Arabidopsis thaliana: one gene and its partners. The protein of the gene in region 1 interacts with the protein of each later gene in a pairwise test. Each region holds a gene or a part of one and is shown in the gene's direction. Other genes may lie near its edges. The genes, in order: AT5G06770, WRKY6, BPC6 and DCP5.

Evidence for each region.
Region 2: the proteins of AT5G06770 (region 1) and WRKY6 interact in a two-hybrid assay, tested with the Arabidopsis thaliana proteins (one large-scale study listed by BioGRID).
Region 3: the proteins of AT5G06770 (region 1) and BPC6 interact in a two-hybrid assay, tested with the Arabidopsis thaliana proteins (one large-scale study listed by BioGRID).
Region 4: the proteins of AT5G06770 (region 1) and DCP5 interact in a two-hybrid assay, tested with the Arabidopsis thaliana proteins (one large-scale study listed by BioGRID).

What each region holds. Positions count from the first base shown.
Region 1 is NC_003076.8:2,089,813-2,094,838, reverse strand, and holds AT5G06770 (KH domain-containing protein / zinc finger (CCCH type) family protein), read left to right. Parts: upstream 1-1,837; 5' UTR 1,838-2,051; coding exon 2,052-2,130; exon of another isoform or gene 2,131-2,659; coding exon of another isoform or gene 2,660-2,672; coding exon 2,673-2,733; exon of another isoform or gene 2,734-3,260; coding exon of another isoform or gene 3,261-3,319; coding exon 3,320-3,902; 3' UTR 3,903-4,136; downstream 4,137-5,026. Other genes in the region: EML2 (Emsy N Terminus (ENT)/ plant Tudor-like domains-containing protein), read left to right, coding at 22-249, 327-395, 493-556, 646-692; LEA4-5 (Late Embryogenesis Abundant 4-5), read left to right, coding at 4,526-4,612, 4,696-5,026.
Region 2 is NC_003070.9:23,015,700-23,021,496, reverse strand, and holds WRKY6 (WRKY family transcription factor), read left to right. Parts: upstream 1-2,002; 5' UTR 2,003-2,341; coding exon 2,342-2,707; intron 2,708-2,912; coding exon 2,913-3,014; intron 3,015-3,108; coding exon 3,109-3,255; intron 3,256-3,344; coding exon 3,345-3,659; intron 3,660-3,757; coding exon 3,758-3,871; intron 3,872-3,992; coding exon 3,993-4,610; 3' UTR 4,611-4,928; downstream 4,929-5,797.
Region 3 is NC_003076.8:16,998,370-17,003,382, forward strand, and holds BPC6 (basic pentacysteine 6), read left to right. Parts: upstream 1-1,889; 5' UTR 1,890-2,057; intron 2,058-2,822; 5' UTR 2,823-2,917; coding exon 2,918-2,974; intron 2,975-3,125; coding exon 3,126-4,097; 3' UTR 4,098-4,238; downstream 4,239-5,013. Other genes in the region: AT5G42510 (Disease resistance-responsive (dirigent-like protein) family protein), read right to left, coding at 1-447. UniProt on the Arabidopsis thaliana protein: Transcriptional regulator that specifically binds to GA-rich elements (GAGA-repeats) present in regulatory sequences of genes involved in developmental processes.
Region 4 is NC_003070.9:9,023,628-9,029,683, reverse strand, and holds DCP5 (decapping 5), read left to right. Parts: upstream 1-1,728; 5' UTR 1,729-2,127; coding exon 2,128-2,278; intron 2,279-2,582; coding exon 2,583-2,683; intron 2,684-2,762; coding exon 2,763-2,837; intron 2,838-2,927; coding exon 2,928-3,887; intron 3,888-4,059; coding exon of another isoform or gene 4,060-4,079; intron 4,080-4,172; coding exon 4,173-4,244; intron 4,245-4,372; coding exon 4,373-4,546; intron 4,547-4,626; coding exon 4,627-4,737; intron 4,738-4,876; coding exon 4,877-5,068; 3' UTR 5,069-5,343; downstream 5,344-6,056. Other genes in the region: ICME-LIKE1 (alpha/beta-Hydrolases superfamily protein), read left to right, coding at 290-355, 465-608, 699-789, 876-1,028; AT1G26100 (Cytochrome b561/ferric reductase transmembrane protein family), read left to right, coding at 5,603-5,725, 5,819-5,870, 6,002-6,056. UniProt on the Arabidopsis thaliana protein: As a component of the decapping complex, involved in the degradation of mRNAs. Promotes P-body formation. Translational repressor.

The sequences.
Region 1 (5,026 bases):
TAGTTAGTTATATAATTGTAGATTCCAACGAAAGATATAAGATGGGATGGAGAGGAAGATGGGGTAACTTTGAATGTAGGACATGGCGGTGGAACAACTCGTGGGAATCGAAGGACCTTAAGCCATGGTGGTAGAGGGAGAGGTCCAAGAACTCAGCCAAGAAGAGAACATTTAGCAACGGAAAACGGTGGTGGGAGGAAGTTTTTCGGTGAGATTGAATTGTTCAACACAGACTCACTTGTGAAAGAGGTAGGTATCTCTATCTCTCTGCATTTTGTTTCTCTTTAGGCAAAAAGGGTTTTTGATGTCGAAATCTTTCGCATTAGGTCGAGAGAGTTTTTGATTCAAACCTTCCTGATCCACATGAGCTTGATAAGGCCAAGAAGCTACTCAAGGTGAGCGATATGATAATTGATAAGAACTTTGTGACGAGATATCGATTGAAAGAAACAGTGAAGTGAAACTTGGTGTTGTTGTTATTGGATGATATAGGAACATGAACAGGCGCTTATTGCTGCCATTGCAAGGCTTACGGATGCTTCTGATTACGAAAGCGGTAATAAATGTGAACAGCGGCCTTTGTTTATTTCTATTTGTCATGCACTAAGATCACTAACAACAACATAATTTGTGCTGGTGAACCAGATGGAGAAGAACCGTATTCGCATGAGCTTCCAATGCTGCTGGGGTGAGTATGTATGACACCATCACCCCTAGGAAAAATGACTAGCAATATTTCTTTTTCTTCTGTTTTGCTTTAAGGGATCCCAGAAAATGATTTTGTTCATATATGATGAACAATTAGTAGTATTCTTCTAATTTGTGGTTTCAGAATGTATGAAAATAATCGTTAGGAATTTTGTTTGTAAAAACACTATTTTTAAAAAAAAATTCTGAACTTGTGTGATCATCATCAGGCTTGCCATCAGGATCGTTAATAATTTACTTGCTCAAATCCCCAATTCCTGTCTAAACAATGTAAAAAGAATCGAACCAAGCATGTAAATATTGAGAAGAGGCTTTTGACCTTTGAGCATAACATTCAAAATCTGATTCAATTAGCAAGAATATAAGATGGAAAGTGAGATCAACATAAATCACCTGTCACTGAATCCTTCAATTTTAAAAATATTTCAATGGTTACTTTACTTCAATTTATTTTATTGTTTTAAAAAAATATATTCAATGGTTATAAGAACGGTTAACAATAAATTAGTATCAGGGTTATCGTCTTATCGACCCGATGTTAGAAATTTTTTATAATTTTTCTTTTGTTAAAATGACAATCTTAATTCTTAATGGCAATTATATGTTCAATCTTAATGGCAATCTTAAACCGATCGATTATTCAAATTATATGTTCCGTATTTTTTTTAGATTGAATGTTATTGATAGAGTTATCAGAAAAAAATACTACTTTTTAGTTTAAATTACTGTGATTATGATAAAAAATTAAAACGCGCCAAACTTAACGATTTTTTTCCAAAATTTCTACAAATGACTCGTTACCCAAATTATTTTTTCTGTATTTTTTGAATATATTAAAACTAATGTGACTATGATAAAACAATTAAAACGCGCAAATTTAACAATTCTCTATTTTTGAAACCACTGGATGTGAATTAACAATAAATATAAAGTAATATGTGTACAAATAATCAGAGTTGAATATTTTTTTGGTGTTTATTACTTGCATGAGTACAAGTTTGATTCCAGTCTCATCAAATAAACTCTATTATTGTCAAAACATAAATTCATTCTAATGTTAATGTATATACTTTAAATTTATAGTAATCCATATAATTAATAATGGAATTAGTCTCCTGGTCTTTTGGTGTTCCACGAATTAATTTATATTATTAACAAATTAAGCAAACCTCTATCCCCCATTTATATTGTTGAGCTGTGTGTGTGGAGATGATGATGATGATGATAAACCCAATAGAATTTTAAAAGGATAAGAATCGCAAAGCTCATATCACAAAACTTTGAGATCTCATTTCATCTTTCTTCGATTCTACCTACTCCGATTCAATCGATCTTATCGAGACATGGATGCTCGTAAGAGAGGACGCCCTGAAGCTGCTGCCTCTCACAACTCCAATGGCGGATTCAAGAGGTCTAAGCAAGGTTTGTTCTTTCACTCCTCTCCTTCCTATTGTCTCCAATTGGGTTTTAGAAATTCGAGATCTTCACAACAAGAGAGAATGTTTTGGTATCACTTATGTTTGTTCATTTCTAGTTGCAATGTGTGCTCTGTCTCTCGTAAAGGTTGTTCCTTTGTTCATTTTTGTGTTCATTAGAGAGATTAGTCGCAAACCCTTTTTCTGCTTCAGTCTGGTATTACCTTACTTGAGAGTTGGGAGACAATTGATATGAGAAGTTTGTATCTTGTTCTGCTTTGTGTTGTGCTATTGGCTTACCCTTCTTCTCATATTCATTGGATTCATCAATCAACTCCCATTAGCCTTTGTGACCACTCAACATTACTGGATTTACTTGATTGATATATTGATCTGTATCAACTCAAGCTGTTGAGTTCAATTTCAAAACTCTATAACCCTGGAAATTTTCAAAACCAGAATGGTATACTGGTGCCAAGTCCAAATGATATGTATTGAGAAAATTGTAGAAAAGTTTAACCAAGTAAAAGCACTTAATGTTTGCAACAGAGATGGAATCAATTTCAACTGGTTTAGGAAGCAAATCCAAGCCATGCACTAAATTTTTCAGGTTATAAATCTATTTTTTTTCCTGATTGGATCATGAAATTAAGAAGTAATACTGTATAAAGTGTGCTAATGAAGTGGATAGTTGTTATACAGGTACGTAGCACTGTTCATCCTTAAACGAGTTAAAAAGTCAATGTAACAAACTGTGATTCCTCCTAAGAATGGATGATAAGCTTATATGGAGTATAATTTTGGAACTGAACTCTACTGGTGAATCTAATATACAAAATCAACCAAAACTTGTTTTTGTGGCTGTCGTTGTAAACAATTTGTTTATTCTTCTTCTGTTTGATGGTAAGGAAACTGTAATTTTGCATATGCAGCATAAAACCATTGTTCTCAAGTAAGGTTCTTCTTGCATTATCTTTGAACTATCCATGAGTCTTTCGGCTCCTGTGCAACGTGTTGTTCATCGGTGATGCATAATGACTACAATCTGTTTTATTACTTTATAAATTTCTTTCATTATCTTTGTACTAAAACGCTATAGCTTTTTCGAGAAGGTAGCAATAGTGCAACAGCTTGGAGATGTGTCGTTTTGTTCTTTCTCGAATGAATTTGCTGATGCATTATGGTTTGTACTGCAGCACTTCTGGATGTCCATTTGGTGACAATTGCCACTTCTTGCACTATGTGCCCGGTGGGTACAATGCTGCAGCGCAGATGACAAATCTCCGACCACCGGTTTCTCAAGTTTCCAGAAATATGCAAGGATCTGGTGGTCCCGGCGGCAGATTCTCAGGGAGAGGAGATCCAGGATCAGGCCCTGTTTCAATCTTTGGTGCTTCTACTTCCAAGATCAGTGTAGATGCTTCTTTAGCCGGTGCCATCATTGGAAAAGGTGGAATCCATTCCAAACAGATATGCCGTGAAACAGGAGCAAAATTATCGATTAAAGATCATGAAAGAGACCCAAACTTGAAGATTATCGAGCTGGAAGGAACATTTGAACAGATCAATGTAGCGAGTGGGATGGTGAGAGAGCTTATAGGGAGGCTTGGATCAGTGAAGAAACCTCAAGGGATTGGTGGTCCTGAAGGGAAACCACATCCTGGGAGCAACTACAAAACCAAGATCTGTGATAGGTACTCTAAAGGGAACTGTACATATGGAGATAGATGCCATTTTGCTCATGGTGAATCTGAGCTGCGCAGGTCAGGAATCGCTTAGTTATGTCTTTAGACTCTTGAGAACAGATTATGCATTGTTAGCTCCATTATCATTGTGACTTTTTGCTCTCTCTTTTTGTTTTATCAATTTGTTTTATGCGACTCGCTTTGAAAACTTTAGCCCATTCTGTATTGAGCTCTGAAGATTCGACGAGTTCTGTAAGTTACCGATCACAGTTAAAAGACTTTGATATGTTAAAACCCTTATATTACAGCTACATACTATTTTTGTCTTAACTCTTAAGATATCATGCACAATAATATACTTGTTTTGTCTTAACCTATCGATTACAAAACCGGGTTAACCGCCGACATGAGGCGAACTCTAAAGCCTAACACGCGTCAACATCTATCTTCTCAACGACTCAAAGGCTTTCCAACACGTGTAGGACCAATAACTGAAACACAAAGCCTACCACCTCTTCTTCCTCTTCTTTCATGACACGTCTCACTGACGTGTCGTCAAGAACGTAATTAAATATTAAACTATCGTGACGAACGCGAGGCCTATGGCTATATCTATGGGACATGCTCGGTGAGCAAAACAATAAACAAAAGTAATCAGAAGATATCTTTGTAACATCTTTGAATTTCGCTAAAGGAAAAGAGAGAGATTTGGTAAAAATGCAGTCGATGAAAGAAACAGCTTCGAATATTGCAGCTTCTGCAAAATCTGGCATGGACAAAACCAAAGCTACCTTGGAGGAAAAGGTAACAGAATTGTGGTTATTATTAATTTATTGATGTAAAATAATAAAAATGGTGTAACGTTGGGTTTGTTTTGTCTTCAAAAGGCGGAGAAGATGAAGACACGAGACCCTGTTCAGAAACAGATGGCTACACAGGTTAAAGAAGATAAGATCAATCAAGCTGAGATGCAGAAGAGAGAAACGCGTCAGCACAACGCGGCCATGAAAGAAGCGGCTGGAGCCGGAACCGGTTTAGGTTTGGGGACGGCCACTCACTCGACCACTGGACAAGTCGGACACGGCACTGGGACACATCAGATGTCGGCTCTGCCTGGTCACGGAACGGGACAACTGACCGACCGCGTTGTGGAGGGCACGGCTGTGACCGACCCGATTGGAAGGAACACTGGAACTGGTCGGACAACCGCTCATAACA
Region 2 (5,797 bases), on another chromosome or scaffold:
TGTATTCTTTTTCTTTCTTATTTTTTTTTATTTTTATTTTTTTCTATATTTTCATTAACTATTATTTTATAAGGTAAAAATATAAATATTAAAATACATTCGTCTGCTAAAATTATCCAATGTAATATTGCAATTCAAAATTAATTGTTTCAGAAAATAATCTCAGTAGAATGCGCTCTTATAACCGCATGTAGCCAACCAATGAGCGATTCCAATGATTAGTAACACTAAATCTCTTCGACTTTTCTAAATTTGTTGAACCTGTTTCGATTTCTTTATCCGGTTTGTATAGTACCATTTTTTGGTTATCCTTCAACAAATTTAACAAAAAAAATAAAAAAATTGCATTTACATTATGTAGTAGTCTAATAAAATATAATTATAGATAATAGAAAAGTCAATAGTTCTAATATGATAACAACAAAAGAAAATGTATACTTTAAAATCTGAAAATTACCATTCTTTTATTTGTTATCCCAAACATAAGCCATGTACTATAATTAGGTTATTGTAATTTATTATAAAAAAAAAAGAAAGAATATTCCTGTACTTCATGATTTCTTTTTGTAACGAAGTACATAAAATTTTCAAATCACATGTGGTAACCATGATTTAACAAAAAATTAAGTCGGTGACAAGCAACGAAACATAAATAATCGACTTTGTCAAGATATGTATAAAAATCGACTTTGTATTTAGAGAACAAGGTCTTCATTATTTTTCTTTTTTAACATTAGAGAAAGAGAACTAAAGGTCTACTTCAAGAAAACAAGAAACTAGGTGCTTAGCTTTAATAATATATCAAAGAAAAATGGGTCAAAAAATAAATTATTACATGAGTGGGGCCCGGCCGGCCACGGAAGTAAGACCTAACGACCAGCGCAACCGGTCACCAGTCAAGACTATTAGAAGCCGGGCCGTCAAAATCGTTGACTCGGTTTTTGTTTCCAACTGTTTTTGTATTTTGTTAAAAATAAATTAATACTAATAAATAAGCTGAAAAAAAAGAAAAGAGAAAAGGTATAATCACGTGGAACGCGCCGCAGTAAACGGAGCGGTGGATCAAACTTTTCGTCCGTTTGATCAAACAGAAGAGAACTAGTCAATGCTCTTTCTTCATATCACAATTTAATAGTCTCAAGACGATTACGCCACATAACCATTTTCTCGTGATTTCGACATCAAAATTTAATAAAAGGAACTGATTGATTGGTCATCATGTTACAAGTGTCAAATGAGCTAATCCGTTTTACAGTGGCATAGTTTACGATCAATTTACAAATTTTTGGTTTTATAACATACTTGTAGTTAAAACTATTTATAAGCTATTTATAGTGAGTTAGCTTATAAAACCCTATTCTTTTATCTAAAATTATGTTTTGACTCGTTTCATGATAAAATTTTATCCTTTTCATCGGAATAAAAAACTTTATTATTTATTTGGCAAAATAATTGGTGTAAAAATTATGTATATGTTAATAACAAAAAATATTAATCTGATTCATAATCTTAAAAAAGAAAAATTTCTTGAAATAAACTTTAGACATTGTAAATAAAAAAACATTATTTTTATATAATGGGATGTTTATATGTAATTTTTTATAAAAAAATAAAAGTTGTTTACTAGTAATCCGATTGGCTTTAACTATCGTCGCCAAAAGAATAATGTAGAACTGACTTTGAGGTAAAACTAAAAGAAATTTGTAAGATAATAGTCACATTAAATGCTAAAATTAATACATACTGATATATCGTATAAAATTTATGAAAACTACACCTTAACCTGAATCATACACTGTAATAAAAAAAACAAATTATATATAAACCCTAAAAACTAATCATAAATCCCAAACGGTGTACTCTCTATTAGCTTTGAAAGGATTGCCCAATTGTTTGTTAAAAATTTCTAATAATAGTACAATGTTTTGTTTCATTTTTCCTTTTCGTCAACCTGTTACCCAATAGCAAATGAAGTTTTTATGTGTGTGTGTGTGTGTGAATTTCCATGAAAATGAAACGGGCTTAGAATCCCGGTGTATTATGGGTCGGGTCGTAACCGGGCAATGACGCAGGATCTGACGTAAAACTCCCAAGAATTTTTTTAAAAAGTCTCCGGAAAATAAAATCAAAGTTCATTAACTTAAAAAGAAAAAACAAAATCGGTCCACGTCCCAAACCCTTTTTATAGGAGAGTCTTATGTTCTGGCAGAAGACTTCACAGACTCTTTCTTAATCTCTCTCTCTTTCAACCAAACCCCTAAACAAAAAAAAAATACATTTTCTGATCTCTCTAAAAATCTTTCTCCTTCGTTAATCTCGTGATCTCTTTCTTTTTCTATATATGGACAGAGGATGGTCTGGTCTCACTCTTGATTCATCTTCTCTTGATCTTTTAAACCCTAATCGTATTTCTCATAAGAATCACCGACGTTTCTCAAATCCTTTGGCGATGTCTAGAATTGACGAAGAAGATGATCAGAAGACGAGAATATCAACCAACGGTAGTGAATTTAGGTTTCCGGTGAGTCTCTCAGGTATTCGTGATCGTGAAGATGAAGATTTTTCATCTGGCGTTGCTGGAGATAATGACCGTGAAGTTCCCGGCGAAGTGGATTTCTTCTCCGACAAGAAATCTAGGGTTTGTCGTGAAGACGACGAAGGATTTCGTGTGAAGAAGGAAGAACAAGATGATCGAACGGACGTAAATGTAAGTACGACTTTTCGATAAATCATATGAAATACAATTTTCTTACTAATGGTTTGTATTAGTGTGGACGTGTCATAATTTGGTTTACATTTGAAATATCAAATAAAAATACCAAATTTTGTTTCATTTTTTTTTTTTTGATAAAGGTATCATATTTTGTTTTCTTACAAAATGATTTCTAAATTTGAATTTTAATTTGTTATAGACCGGTTTGAATCTTCGAACAACTGGTAATACAAAGAGTGATGAGTCAATGATCGATGATGGAGAATCTTCCGAAATGGAAGATAAGCGTGCGAAAAATGAGGTAAGTTTAGTTTGATTTTACATTAGTAATATTTAATAGATGAATAATTTGAACCGGTTTGATTAATATTTCGATTTTTTTTTGTTTATCACAGTTGGTGAAATTACAAGATGAGTTGAAGAAAATGACAATGGATAATCAAAAGCTTAGAGAATTGCTTACACAAGTTAGCAACAGTTACACTTCACTTCAGATGCATCTTGTTTCACTAATGCAGCAACAGCAACAACAGAACAATAAGGTAAATAATTATTAGATTGATCAACCACAAGTAAATGGAATTTACCCTACATGAATAGGCAATTAATTTTGGTGAACCTATATGATTAGGTAATAGAAGCTGCTGAGAAGCCTGAGGAGACGATAGTACCAAGGCAATTTATTGATTTAGGCCCTACGAGAGCAGTAGGTGAGGCCGAGGATGTGTCAAATTCTTCATCCGAAGATAGAACTCGTTCGGGGGGTTCTTCTGCAGCCGAGAGGCGTAGTAACGGGAAGAGACTTGGGCGTGAAGAAAGCCCCGAAACTGAGTCCAACAAAATTCAGAAGGTGAATTCTACTACCCCGACGACATTTGATCAAACCGCTGAAGCTACGATGAGGAAAGCCCGTGTCTCCGTTCGTGCCCGATCGGAAGCTCCGATGGTAAGTTGATTTATTAGATACTAATACTTATAAGACTATATAAAAAATAAACTATGTGCTTTAGAGATTAATTATCTTTGTACTTTATGTTTCTATAGATAAGCGATGGATGTCAATGGAGAAAATATGGCCAGAAGATGGCCAAAGGGAATCCTTGTCCGCGGGCATATTACCGCTGCACGATGGCCACGGGCTGTCCCGTTCGCAAACAAGTAAGATTTAAAAGATTTAACCATTGGACTAAAAGATTCTTGTTGTAAAAACATTAGAGATTTCAATGTATATATGTTTGCGTGATTGGCTAATACGTTCGGTCCGAAATGATATTTATAGGTTCAACGTTGCGCGGAAGACAGATCAATTCTGATTACAACCTACGAGGGAAACCATAACCATCCGTTGCCGCCAGCCGCGGTAGCCATGGCTTCTACCACCACGGCGGCGGCTAACATGTTGCTATCCGGGTCAATGTCTAGTCACGACGGGATGATGAACCCTACAAATTTACTAGCTAGGGCTGTTCTTCCTTGCTCCACAAGCATGGCAACAATCTCAGCCTCCGCGCCGTTTCCAACCGTCACATTAGACCTCACCCACTCACCTCCGCCTCCTAATGGTTCCAATCCTTCCTCTTCCGCGGCTACCAACAACAACCACAACTCACTGATGCAGCGGCCGCAACAACAACAACAGCAAATGACGAACTTACCTCCGGGAATGCTACCTCATGTAATAGGCCAGGCATTGTATAACCAATCCAAGTTCTCGGGGCTGCAGTTCTCTGGTGGCTCTCCCTCGACGGCAGCGTTTTCTCAGTCACACGCGGTGGCTGATACAATAACGGCACTCACAGCTGACCCGAATTTCACGGCGGCTCTTGCAGCCGTTATTTCTTCTATGATCAATGGTACGAACCACCACGACGGCGAAGGAAACAACAAAAATCAATAGAAAAATATTACATTTTTTTTTTGGGTATCTACATTTTTTTTCCAACTGGGTTATAGGAAACAGAGAGTTTATTTCATTGATTCACATTTGTTCTGTTTCGTACCAAAATCCCAGTAAATATACAAAAGCAAACTATACTCAAGTTCATATTCGTAAACACTATAAATAGTTACGTAACTTAATTAGCATTGCCTTTAAAGCTTTAATATTTGATATTTCTTTTGAGTGGTATATTAAATACTTCACATGTGAGCGCCGATACAAACCTAATAGTTTGGCCGTACCTTCAATAAGATAATGAGATATCATCAAATAAGTGTCCTACATAATGACACTTAATTATTGAACTTTTAATAACCTTTTTATATATATTTAACAATTGCAACGGTCAATAAATGCTACCATAACAATTTGACACGTAATTGCTGTCTAATTAAGTCACCTAAAAATCTGTACACATTAATATTTGCTAACAAATAGAGACAACTTCCTAGAAACTACGAGTTTAATGGCATGAAAAATTTGAAGATAAATAAACTGAAATATGTGACCAAAAATTTAGGCAACAATATAACGAAAAGTTTAGCTTTGTCAATTTCTTCATTTTTATGAAGTAAAAATAGGATTTTCTAGAAAATTATTAAAATTTCGATACGTAATTATCTGTGTACTGTGGAGTAATAATATTGTAAATAGATGGAATAATATCTCAAGCTTTGGAAGGAAGCGATACGCAAAAGTACGTTGTTGACTTTCCGTGCAACTCTAGTTGACGTGGGGGTCATGATTTGCCAATAATGCATTTTTTTAATACAGGTAAGTCTTTATTATGCTTAATTTTAAATTGCACTAAAAACCAAGTTTTGATCTGCTTCCGATCCGAGATGCCTCTCCTACTCTCATTATTTTATTTTGGATTATAAAGTGGTATTTTTTGAATAATCTTTTCTTTAGTAAAATATGTGAAAACGGAATCATAAAGCTGGTATTTTAAAAAAAAAAAGGCCATAAAAAAAAGAGAGTAGCTGTTTGTATTTTTTTTGTGTGCACAGTTTGAAGAAAATCCAAATCTATTCTTTTGAATGAACTTTACTAATTAGAAAAAGGAGCAAAATCCTACGTGAAAACGGTAGAAGGTATAGTAGTTGTTAAACGATAGGAGTATTCTCTTTAAAAAAAAAAATTAG
Region 3 (5,013 bases), about 15 Mb from region 1:
TCCTCCAATAATCGGCAACTCTCTCACCTTCGAAAATATATCATTCCGTCCATACACCGCGATGGTGCTTCCATTAAACTCTCCTGCCGTGAAAACATAGTTAAAGACCATTGTGAAGACTATGTCCTTCATGGCTGTTGATGCGTACATCCCCTGAGCTCTTCCCACTTCCTTTGAGCTCGGGTCTGGTCCTTCGGTCAACGGATCATCAGCGATCATAATCACGCCAAACTTGACGTTGAGGGTGGTTGTTGGGCGGGCTTCGGCAACTTTGACGGCGGTAGGTTTGTCACCGGAGATGACGTCATGGAAGTAGAAGTGGAGGTGGGTGAATTTCTCCGGCTTGTAGCCTTGATACGGCGTTGTTGTGGAGTAAGCTGTGACGGACACGGCAAGAAGAAGAATAGATGACAAAAGAGGAAGAAGAAGCAGAAAACGTTTAGCCATGTTCGTTGTTTGTAGCTATGGAAATGTGAAAATGTGATTTATATATATACACAAAACATGATCGTTACGCAATTGTTGGCTCATAAAACATTTGAATATGTCGTTTCTCGATTGGTGACAACAACATGTCCGTTGACGTGGAAGTAAACTAGGTGGTTCGATTTATAAACAACTAGATATTTCCACTTGTACGAATCATGATATAAACTGGCAAATATATAAGGATGCACGACGAAAGAAAAACAAAACAAATAAGAATAAAACAAGATTCTGCATTGTGATACACTACATATAAATATATAAAGAAAGATATATAGTAGATGCATATAATTGAAATTAAGATCAAAGATGTACATAGACATTGATGTTTAAATTTAGGATTGTCAATCTGTATATATGTACCTAAGATATATATTAATATATACATATGGTTCCAAACTCAATACCAGTGTTCTCTAATTAATGATCTTATATTTTGTACACTGAATTAATCATCCACTGAGTCCCAAAAGAGGAGGGCATAGGTGCGACGGGCTAGAGTTAAATCATAAAATAGATTAAAAACAATACATGATATTTGAAACAATGATCAATGACAAGACTTTAGTTTTCTTGCAAAAAGTATATAACTTATTTTAGAAACTCCTTGAATTTTGTTATAAAACAAAATTGGTAGTTGCATAATTTTTTTTTTTCAAAAAATAAAACAACGATCAAGAATTTTGGTAGTTGCATAATTTTGAAGTACAGTTGTGCTAGTTACTCAATTAAACTTAAAATATATTATATCAATTGTTTGGAATAACATTCATCTTTCGTCTTCTCAGTTTACTTGGAATGCACGAGAGCTTTCTCGTTGTGAGAATAACTCTTGGGTCATGCCTAATGAGAAATGCATGGGGACGAGAATCCTCTGTCGAGTTAAAAAGTATCAATGTCTTAAGGCTACTATTAATAAAACAAATCTATTATTCAGATCAAGTAGGTGCTCTGTTTTAGGCTGCAGGAATCCACGTTCACATGGCGTCAAAGTTAAGTACGTTGGGGCATCAAATGTTGTTTGTGATAAAATCTCATAACAAATGTGCTACTATCTAATTATAGAGTCGATTGTTCTGAGGAAAGGTAACGTTTTATTGATATTTGGCGACCGAGACTGAAGTTTCAAAAAGGCCATATTAATATTGATCGTAAAATGTTAAATTATATATAAACTGTAATGACCACACCAGCCACACTTTAAATTTTATATAAAAATAATCTAACTGGTAATTACATAATAATACTAATAGACATTTTTTATTTTATTTTTTTCCAATTGGTCACCTAATTTTCAACAACAACAGTGCAACAGTAAAACACTTACCAAATGGGTGAAAAAAGAGTTAAAAGTTTAAAAATTTGTTTTTACCAAACGTAAAAACAGTTAGAAAGAAAGAAATCCATCTTCCTCTTCCCCGATCTGTTTCTTCCACAAAGATATTTTTCTTTATTCTCTCGCAGTTCAATTAGGGTTTCAATCTCTCTGCTCTGCTTGTCATCACCACCACCACCACCACCGTCGTCGTCTCTCTGTATCTCTCCGGCGGGTTCTCTCTCTACTTCCCCCGGTAAACTTCGCTTACTCTTCCACCATCTTCTTTCTCTCTTCGCCGCCCCTTTTCATTTCACTTTTTTCTCCAAGTTCTTACCAAGCTTCTAAGCTCATTTCCTATTAATCGAAGCTCGTTTGAAGTAATTAGGGCTTGGCTGAATCCTAATTGCTGAATTAAGTTACTCGATTTGATTCCAAATGGCTAAATCCTAATTTTGATGAGCTTTGCCTGTTTCTATCGACATTAGAGTTGGAGAATTTTTGGATTGTTTCTTTCTTTTGGATAGTGTATCGAACCAGATTTTGTGGTTTTAGAGTTCTTATTGATCATCATGAGTAGGCGATTTTGTGTTTTGTGTTTTCCCAAATTAGCTTTTGATGATTATCACTATGACTATAATCGATGATACTGTGTTTCTTTTAGCTGAGTTTGATATCTCACAGAGTTTATGTGTATTGGTTAGAATCGATTGATTGATGTGCAAATCCTGAAACAAAATGGTACCATTTCGATATTAATGTTGCTATTTTTAGTCATCTGAGTTTGAGTGTTTTTGTTGAAAGTTTTTCAGAAAATACTCATAGATGGACAAACAATTGTTTGCTTTGTCTCTGCTGAATCATATTCTGGAACTCAAGTATAGATTTTTTTTTTGCTTCATAGTCGTTTATGTATGTTCACTAATACTAGCAATGCTTTGGTGATTGGCTATTTTGCTTCATAGTAGTTTATTTATGAAATGGTCTTTTTTGACACTGTTTAATGATTGGCTATGTGCAGGAGGATTAAAAGATGGACCAGTCTTTTATTTTGATATTCCGTTAGCTTGTTCAGTTATTGTAGAAGCTGTACCGTCAAGACTTTTAATATCTCAAATGGATGATGGTGGGCATCGTGAGAATGGTCGGCATAAAGCAGCAGTTCAGGGCCAGGTACCTTGACAATCCCAAAGCTAAATCAGTTGTTTTCCTTTCTCTGCTCTATATATACATCTTATGGGTGTTCATCATGCTTGCGGCTAAACACCTCAGATTTGAGACTGTTTTTGATGGGAATGTATGATTTGTTCATGATGTAAAACAGTGGTTGATGCAGCATCAGCCGTCGATGAAACAAGTGATGTCGATAATAGCAGAGCGCGATGCAGCGATTCAGGAGAGAAATCTGGCGATATCAGAGAAAAAAGCAGCAGTAGCTGAAAGGGACATGGCGTTTCTTCAGAGGGACACCGCCATTGCTGAGCGCAACAATGCGATAATGGAGAGAGACAGTGCTCTTACAGCACTCCAATACCGTGAGAACTCTATGGTTACTGCTCCTGCTGCCAATATGTCAGCATGTCCACCAGGATGTCAAATATCACGTGGTGTAAAACACTTGCACCATCCGCACATGCATCATCATCATCAACAACATCACATACCTCAGTTGACTGAAAATGCATATGAAACCAGAGAGATGGAGCCAAATGATGGTCTCCCAACATCACCACCTGCCGGATCCACCTTGGAATCTGCCAAACCAAAACGTGGTAAAAGAGTGAACCCAAAGGCGACAACACAAACTGCTGCTAATAAGAGAGGGCCAAAAAATCAGAGGAAGGTTAAGAAAGAGAGCGAGGACGACTTAAACAAGATAATGTTTGTAAAGACGACCCATGACTACACAGACGAAGATTCAAGTAAGCATATCTTAATAGGATCAAAATCTGACTGGAAAAGTCAAGAAATGGTGGGGCTGAACCAAGTGGTTTACGACGAGACAACGATGCCACCACCTGTATGTTCATGTACAGGAGTTCTCAGACAGTGCTACAAATGGGGAAATGGAGGTTGGCAATCATCGTGTTGCACAACTACACTATCAATGTATCCTTTACCTGCACTGCCCAACAAAAGGCATGCTCGAGTTGGTGGACGGAAAATGAGCGGAAGCGCGTTCAACAAGCTTCTAAGCCGGCTTGCTGCAGAAGGGCATCATGATCTTTCAAACCCGGTCGATCTGAAGGACCATTGGGCAAAGCACGGTACAAACCGCTACATTACGATTAAATGATATGTGCATTTAGGTGTGAGTTGTTCTTACGACATTATCTGATTTTAAATCATGTGTACTAAATTCAAATAAACTCGAGAGGAAAAGAATTGTATGTGGAGCCAATGTTATGTTGTATTATATAATTCGAAAATTTTTAGTAACATCACAAACCGTAGAATTATTATTTTTTGTTCACATCAACAAAGAAAAACTAGACAACTTTTTCTTTTGAACTGATACTGAATCATGGATGGAATGTGAGCTATTTCACTCACCTACAACTTACGGACTGTGTGAACAAATGGATCTGATCATATCTATCAATTTGGAATTTTTGATAAAGAAATCACAAATGATTAGTCTAGGGAGATTTCACTGTGATATACGACTCGAGAGTTTTCTCTGCTTTTTTTGTGGGACCTATATATTTTATTTATTAAGAAAAAACATTATGTTTCATTAAAAATAAACCAATCAGTCGCACTAAAATAATCTAAATACTGTATAAACAAAAAATAAAATGATAAAAACATTAAAAGCTATGATGTATTTATTAGTATAAATACTTTTGATGTTTAAATTTATAATAATATAATTGAGAGTCAAATAATTTTTGTTTTCGTTTTTATTTAATATATTAATTTTGAAAAATAAAATAACTAATATAATAAGAAAATATGAAAAACAATTCTATGCCCAAATTAAATGAAACAAGTTTCTATCTACAGAATATGAAAATGCTGAATTTAAGTGTAAATTATTTATATATAATTGATTTTAAAAATTGATATAAATAATAAGTGTAAATTATTTATATATAATTAACTCAAATTTCACGCAGATAAGTAGCATTTAAAAATTCATTATATTTTCTTTTGATACAACTTAGAACAATCTATTATTAGTAGTGTGCTGCGTCTACTCCAAGTTTTGT
Region 4 (6,056 bases), on another chromosome or scaffold:
TAAGACGATACATTGGAATGTAAATTTTTCTGTCAAGAAGTTGAGAAAAACAAGTTTCTTTAATTGCCTGAGTATTTATATATGTGTTAACTCCAGTTTTTATCTAGCCACCAAGGTCTTTTGTAGAAATGCTAGGCAATTCGTAGAACGGTGAAGTAATGGTCAAATATTAGCTCAAAGTAGCAAGTAGATTCCTGCCTTCTACCCAACTAAAGCAACAAATTTTTTGATGAGGCCTCACATCATCTGCTTGGCTATTCTTAACAAACTTTGTGATCGTGATCTACAGATACAACCTTTTGAACCTTGTGGACCACTTCCATAGCAGGGGGCTGTACCGTTCCATCTTTCTGAGGTATAGCATTTTCTCTTTTGGAATCTTGGTATAGCTTACGTTACTCACCTGGCCAGTAGAGCAGCCTGAAATTTTTACAGTTTAACGTGTGACGTTTGATTTTCCTCAGCATCATGGAAGGAGAGGAATCATTAAGGCAGTTCTCTCCTGAATTAGTAGTGCAAAACCCGAATCTCAAACACATCATTGCTCGTCTCCCACCTTTTATTTTATTCCATGGTACTGATGACTACTCCATCCCGTCAGATGCAAGGTATGGTTTAACTTTTGTGTGTATTTGTCTGTCTTATGTATATCAGAAAGTTAAGATGATGATTGAACTTCTATTACACTATCTTTGCAGTAAATCTTTTGCGGAAACCCTCCAGAGGCTTGGGGCCAAAGCAAAAGTGATCCTTTACGAGGGGAAAACACACACGGATTTGTTTCTTCAGGTAAAATGGCCGGTCTTTTTGAGGTATGAATGTCTTGTCGGACAAGAACCTGAATTTTGATCTAGAAACTTGGTTATCTATGTTAGGATCCAATGAGAGGTGGAATAGATGAGATGTTTGAAGATATAGTAACAGTGGTTCTGGGAGACGATCAAGAAGCGATTGGTAAAAGCGTAGATAGAAGGCGTCTTGTACCTGAATTCATGTTGAAGTTGGCTCACTGGGTCAGTCCGTTCTAACTCCTACACTCTTATCTCCCAGAAGATCAAAGGAAGTACATTCCTTCTTCCAGTGATACAGACGGGTCAATGTGCATATTACTTAACAAGGAAAACAGATCCCACTATACTTTGACGATACAGATGATTTTGAACTTTGATGATGATGATATTGTATCCCGGTTTGCAAATACACTGATTATTTCGTCATTGCCTGTTTGTGTTTTTGTAGAACACTGAAAGTGCATTAAAGAAACAAGGCTTCATTGACTTTGTCACCTTAATTAAACTGTCTTTGGTCTTCTTCTTCTCTGATCATTAATCATTGGTTGCACTATTTTCTTGGCATCAGTTGACTTCTCTACCTATATACAAAGTGCCGAACCAGTGTCATTTAACAAGGAAGAAATGTAGGTCTGATTTTTTTTTTAATAATTAAAACTCTCCAAAGGTGTGATTTTCTTGAGAAAAAAAGGTGTGATTTTCTTGACAAAAAAAGGTGTGATTTTCTTAACCCCAATTTTCAACTAAAAATGTAGGTGAAATCACCAAAAATATTTCTCAAAATTCATTTTTTAAAAGGCCTTTTAATTTATGAATAACACTAGATTTGATACTAGGATTAATATGTAAATAATAAGCTCTAACCATCCTACCAAAATAAAATAATAAACTCTAACCAGAGTAAGCAATCAGAACACGAGCCGTGGGATTGGAATGGCTCGAGTAGGCTCGTAGCTACTCGCCTAAACACACCATTGGCGGTGAATTACGAAATAAACCCTTCGCGTGTACACGAGGCATACTTCGGTTAGTGATTAGAGAGAAGTCAATGGAGCCATACTAGGCTATAATGGTCAGATTGATATTATTTTCTGAATTGGGCTTTTATGGGAATGGATAATAAAAAAGAGATGCTCGATCTCCCCAAATTAGAGTAAACCCTAATTGTGTATCTGTAGCTTTCTCTCTCTCTCTCTCTCTCTCTCTCGCGAAGAAGAAGAAGAAGAAGGAGATCAAGGAACTCGAAGTGTGTGTGTGTGTGTTTGCCTTCTCTTGTCTTTTAGTTTTTTCTCTCTTTGGCTGTGATTTCGTCGGCGAAGAGAGACATAGATCGGATATGGCGGCTGATAATACGGGTTCGAAATCGAGCTCCGCTGCGGATTCTTACGTTGGGAGCTTGATTAGTTTGACATCTAAGAGTGAGATCAGATACGAAGGGATCCTTTACAATATTAATACAGATGAATCCAGTATCGGACTTCAAAACGGTACGATCCGTTTCCACTTCCGTTTCGGGATTACCAGATTTGTTAAGTGTTAATTTTGGTGGTGTTTTCTCTCGGATTTGGTAGAAACTAATGGTTTCTTCCGTTAATCGTTAAGAAAGTTTTCTCCAATCTGAACTGTTTAGCTCGATTTGAAAGGAATGTTGTTTTAGTGCTCATGTCTATTACTTGAGTTCTCAAATTGTAATTGATGTCTTGAAACTATTGGTTGAGCATAAAAGATCAGTGTTTAAGTGGTCGATGAGGTAGATTTTGGTTCTGATCCCTGAACTTTTGTTGTGTGTAGTTCGATCATTTGGAACTGAAGGAAGGAAAAAAGATGGTCCACAAGTTCCTCCAAGTGACAAAGTTTACGAGTACATATTGTTCCGTGGAACTGATATCAAGGTATTCAGCAGGATTATGCTAATACTTCTATGTAAGTAGCCTGCCGATTTTGTACTCTGATTGTTCTTGTTGTTGGTAGGATTTGCAAGTCAAAGCTTCTCCACCAGTTCAGCCTCCTGCATCTACTATAAATAATGACCCTGCTATAATTCAGGTGAATGTTAGAAAAGTTGTAAGATTACATTGTCTGGGATTTTGGAGTCAATTGATGTAACCCCATCCTCCACTTGTCTTGGTTTTGCAGTCTCACTACCCTAGCCCGATGCCAACATCTGGTAGCTTGCCTTCTACTGCGAGCGGGTCACTACCTGACATTAGTTCTCATAATGGACAACCTGGACAACATGGAATGGGATTTCAAAACGCAATGCCTTTGTATCAGCCTGGTGGAAATCTTGGTTCATGGGGAGCGTCACCACAACCACCAATGTATTGGCAAGGTTTCTACACCCCACCTCCCAATGGCCTTCCCCAATTGCATCAGCAGTCTCTGATTCGACCCCCTCATGGGCTGCCAATGCCCAACTCTCTTCAGCAACCCCTGCAATATCCTAACTTTAATACCCCTCCTCCACCTACTGGGTCATCATCTTTGCAGGGGTCAAGCTTGCCAGAAGCACCCTCTTCATTGTTTCCTTTTAGTACCAGTTCTCAAATGTTAGCTCCTAGTTCATTGCCTTTCCCTGGTCTACCACCTGTGACGCTCTCGTCTAGCCTGCAGTCTACACTGCAATCAGCACCATCTCCTTCACTAGCTTCAGAGATGGCACCTCCGTTGCTGTCAAACAAAGCTCCTATTACTGCTCCTCCTACCCTACCTCAGGATACTAATTTGCTTTCGTTTTCTCTATCTACTACGAGAGCCACAGAAGCAAGTACTGGCCTTCCACTGTCTAACAAGCCTAGTGTAGTAACTGGTCCAATTTCTCCGCCGCAGACAACACCATTAACATCTGCTCCTGTTGCGGGAGTTTCTAGTTCCATTAGCCAAGATAAGCCAAAACCTTTGTTGGTTACTCCTGGTCAACTGCTGCAGTCTGGATCTTCTGCAGTCTCTTTGTCCCCACCCTCGACAAATGCTGATAAAGATGTTGAGGTGGTTCAAGTATCGTCATCAGCTGGGTTGGAACAATCTGTTCCAGTTACATCCGAAGCCCAACCTCCAATACTGCCATTGCCTTCCTCTGCAAGACCAACTCAGAAGGTTTTTAACTTACATAACATGCCAAATCCTTCAATGTCTCTTATTAATATCATAAAGAACCTTGAATTTGCTGGTGTCTTAGTTAGCTGGAATAAGGTGTAACTGTTATAACTGCACCTGTGGTAATTCCCATTTTAATATTCCATGCTGTGTCTCTTTTGCTTTGTTGAAGATGCATGAAAATCTCTCAGGGTTCTTTGGTGTATAAGATGGTTTCTTTGCATGTCTACTTATAAGTCTTCATGGTGAAATTATTTAAACTCAATTGCTGATTTTTTTTCTCAGCCAAACGGGCATTCTTTCCCAAATCATAATGGTTACAGGGGACGTGGAAGAGGACGAGGAAGAGGAGCAGGGGTACTATTCTTCTCACTCATTTGTAGAATGTGACGGCATTTATTTGTTTTTACCAAGGAAAAGATCTACCAGTTTAAAATAGCTCATGAACTTTAGCCATGTATGCTAATAATTCTTCTTGTTGGCAGAGATCACACCAAGTAATGAAATTCACTGAAGATTTTGATTTCACAGCAATGAACGAAAAGTTCAATAAGGATGAAGTATGGGGTCATCTTGGGAAGAGTACTACCTTAGATGGTGATGAAGATGATGATTCCCCGACTGTAGATGAGGCTGAGCTTCCTAAGATCGAGGCCAAAGTAAGTGAAGTAGACTTATAATCAAGTAAAGCCACCATATTCTCCCTCTCTGGTCTCATCCACATTGTTTATTGATGTAGCCTGTTTACAACAAAGATGACTTTTTCGATAGCCTATCATCAAACACCATTGACCGAGAGTCCCAAAATTCAAGGCCTAGGTTCTCAGAGCAACGGAAACTAGATACTGAGGTACAATCTATATATTTCCACACTCTGAATAGCAAGCAGACTGGACAGAGTTTGTCCCCCCTCGTTGCTGGAGATACTCGAATTCCCAGAATCGTAAGAGAATCCCATTGACTAACAGAACGTATTGCTATGATTTCAGACATTTGGTGAATTCTCGAGATTCCGAGGAGGTCGAGGAGGGCGTGGTGGTTATGGACGAAACAACGGTTACTCACGTGGTGGTTATGGAGGGCGTGGTTATGGCGGTTATGGTGGCCGTGGCGGCGGCGGCGGTGGCTACGGGTATGGTGGACGTGGCCAGGGGAGAGGCGTATCAAATCGTACTACCTAAACTGTTCTGCTAGAAAGGGCTCTAAAGACTCAAAATCCAATGGGAGCTCAGCTCTTGAGTGCTTTTGGTATGTGGCAATAAAACAAAAACCGAGTCCCGTGTAATGTTTTCTGTTATAAAACCCCACTTGTGTGGTTTTGGAGTGTATTAATTTGATTTCTGATCTTTGTTTTTAAGACTTGGTAATAGCGTCGTTCTTCTTATATCCAATGTTATTTTGAACTTTTGTATACTCGACATTTGGTGTGAAATGCATTTTCTATTTACTCTCAATAGCTTGTTGCTGTTTACTGTTGGTAGCTTCTTGTCTAAATTTCAAAAGTCAAACATTTTGACTTTCAATACAGTACCAGCAGCCTTGAATCAAATGGGCCTTATTAAGAGATAGAGAGGTCTTCTTTATACAAGATCCATAAAATGTCCTCTCTATTTCTCAAATTATCATTTTGTCGGCAACTCTAGTGTCTGAGAGACTGTAGTCACTGTACTCTACAGTAGCACTACTTACTCAACTTTTGAAGAGAGAAAACAGAAATGGGAAGTGTAGATCCTTCAAGACTATCATTGGTCTTGTTTGCGAGACTGTCCGGTTTAGTAGTCGCAGTTTCGGTTCTGTACTGGGCTCTCTTCCTGCCTAATCTAGGACTCAGCTACTCTGTAACTATCACACTCCCTTCCTCGTTGATATCAAATTGGATCTCTCTCTCTCTCTCTCTTTCTCTCTCTAATAAAGTTTTTATACCCTTGTAGACTCTTCATCCTCTGCTGATGGTGATTGGCTTCATTCTTGTAAGTGGAGAAGGTAGTGATGATCCCTCCTCATGCCCCTTTTGAAGATTTCCTCTCTCTCTCTCTCTCTCTCTCTCTCTCTCTCTCTCTCTCTCTCTCTCTTTCTTGAATATTTTATCAAGAACTTGGGGTTTTGATCTGCAGCGATTCTGATACACAGATGGTTGCCTGGTTCAAGGAAAACAAAGAAAGCTGTTCA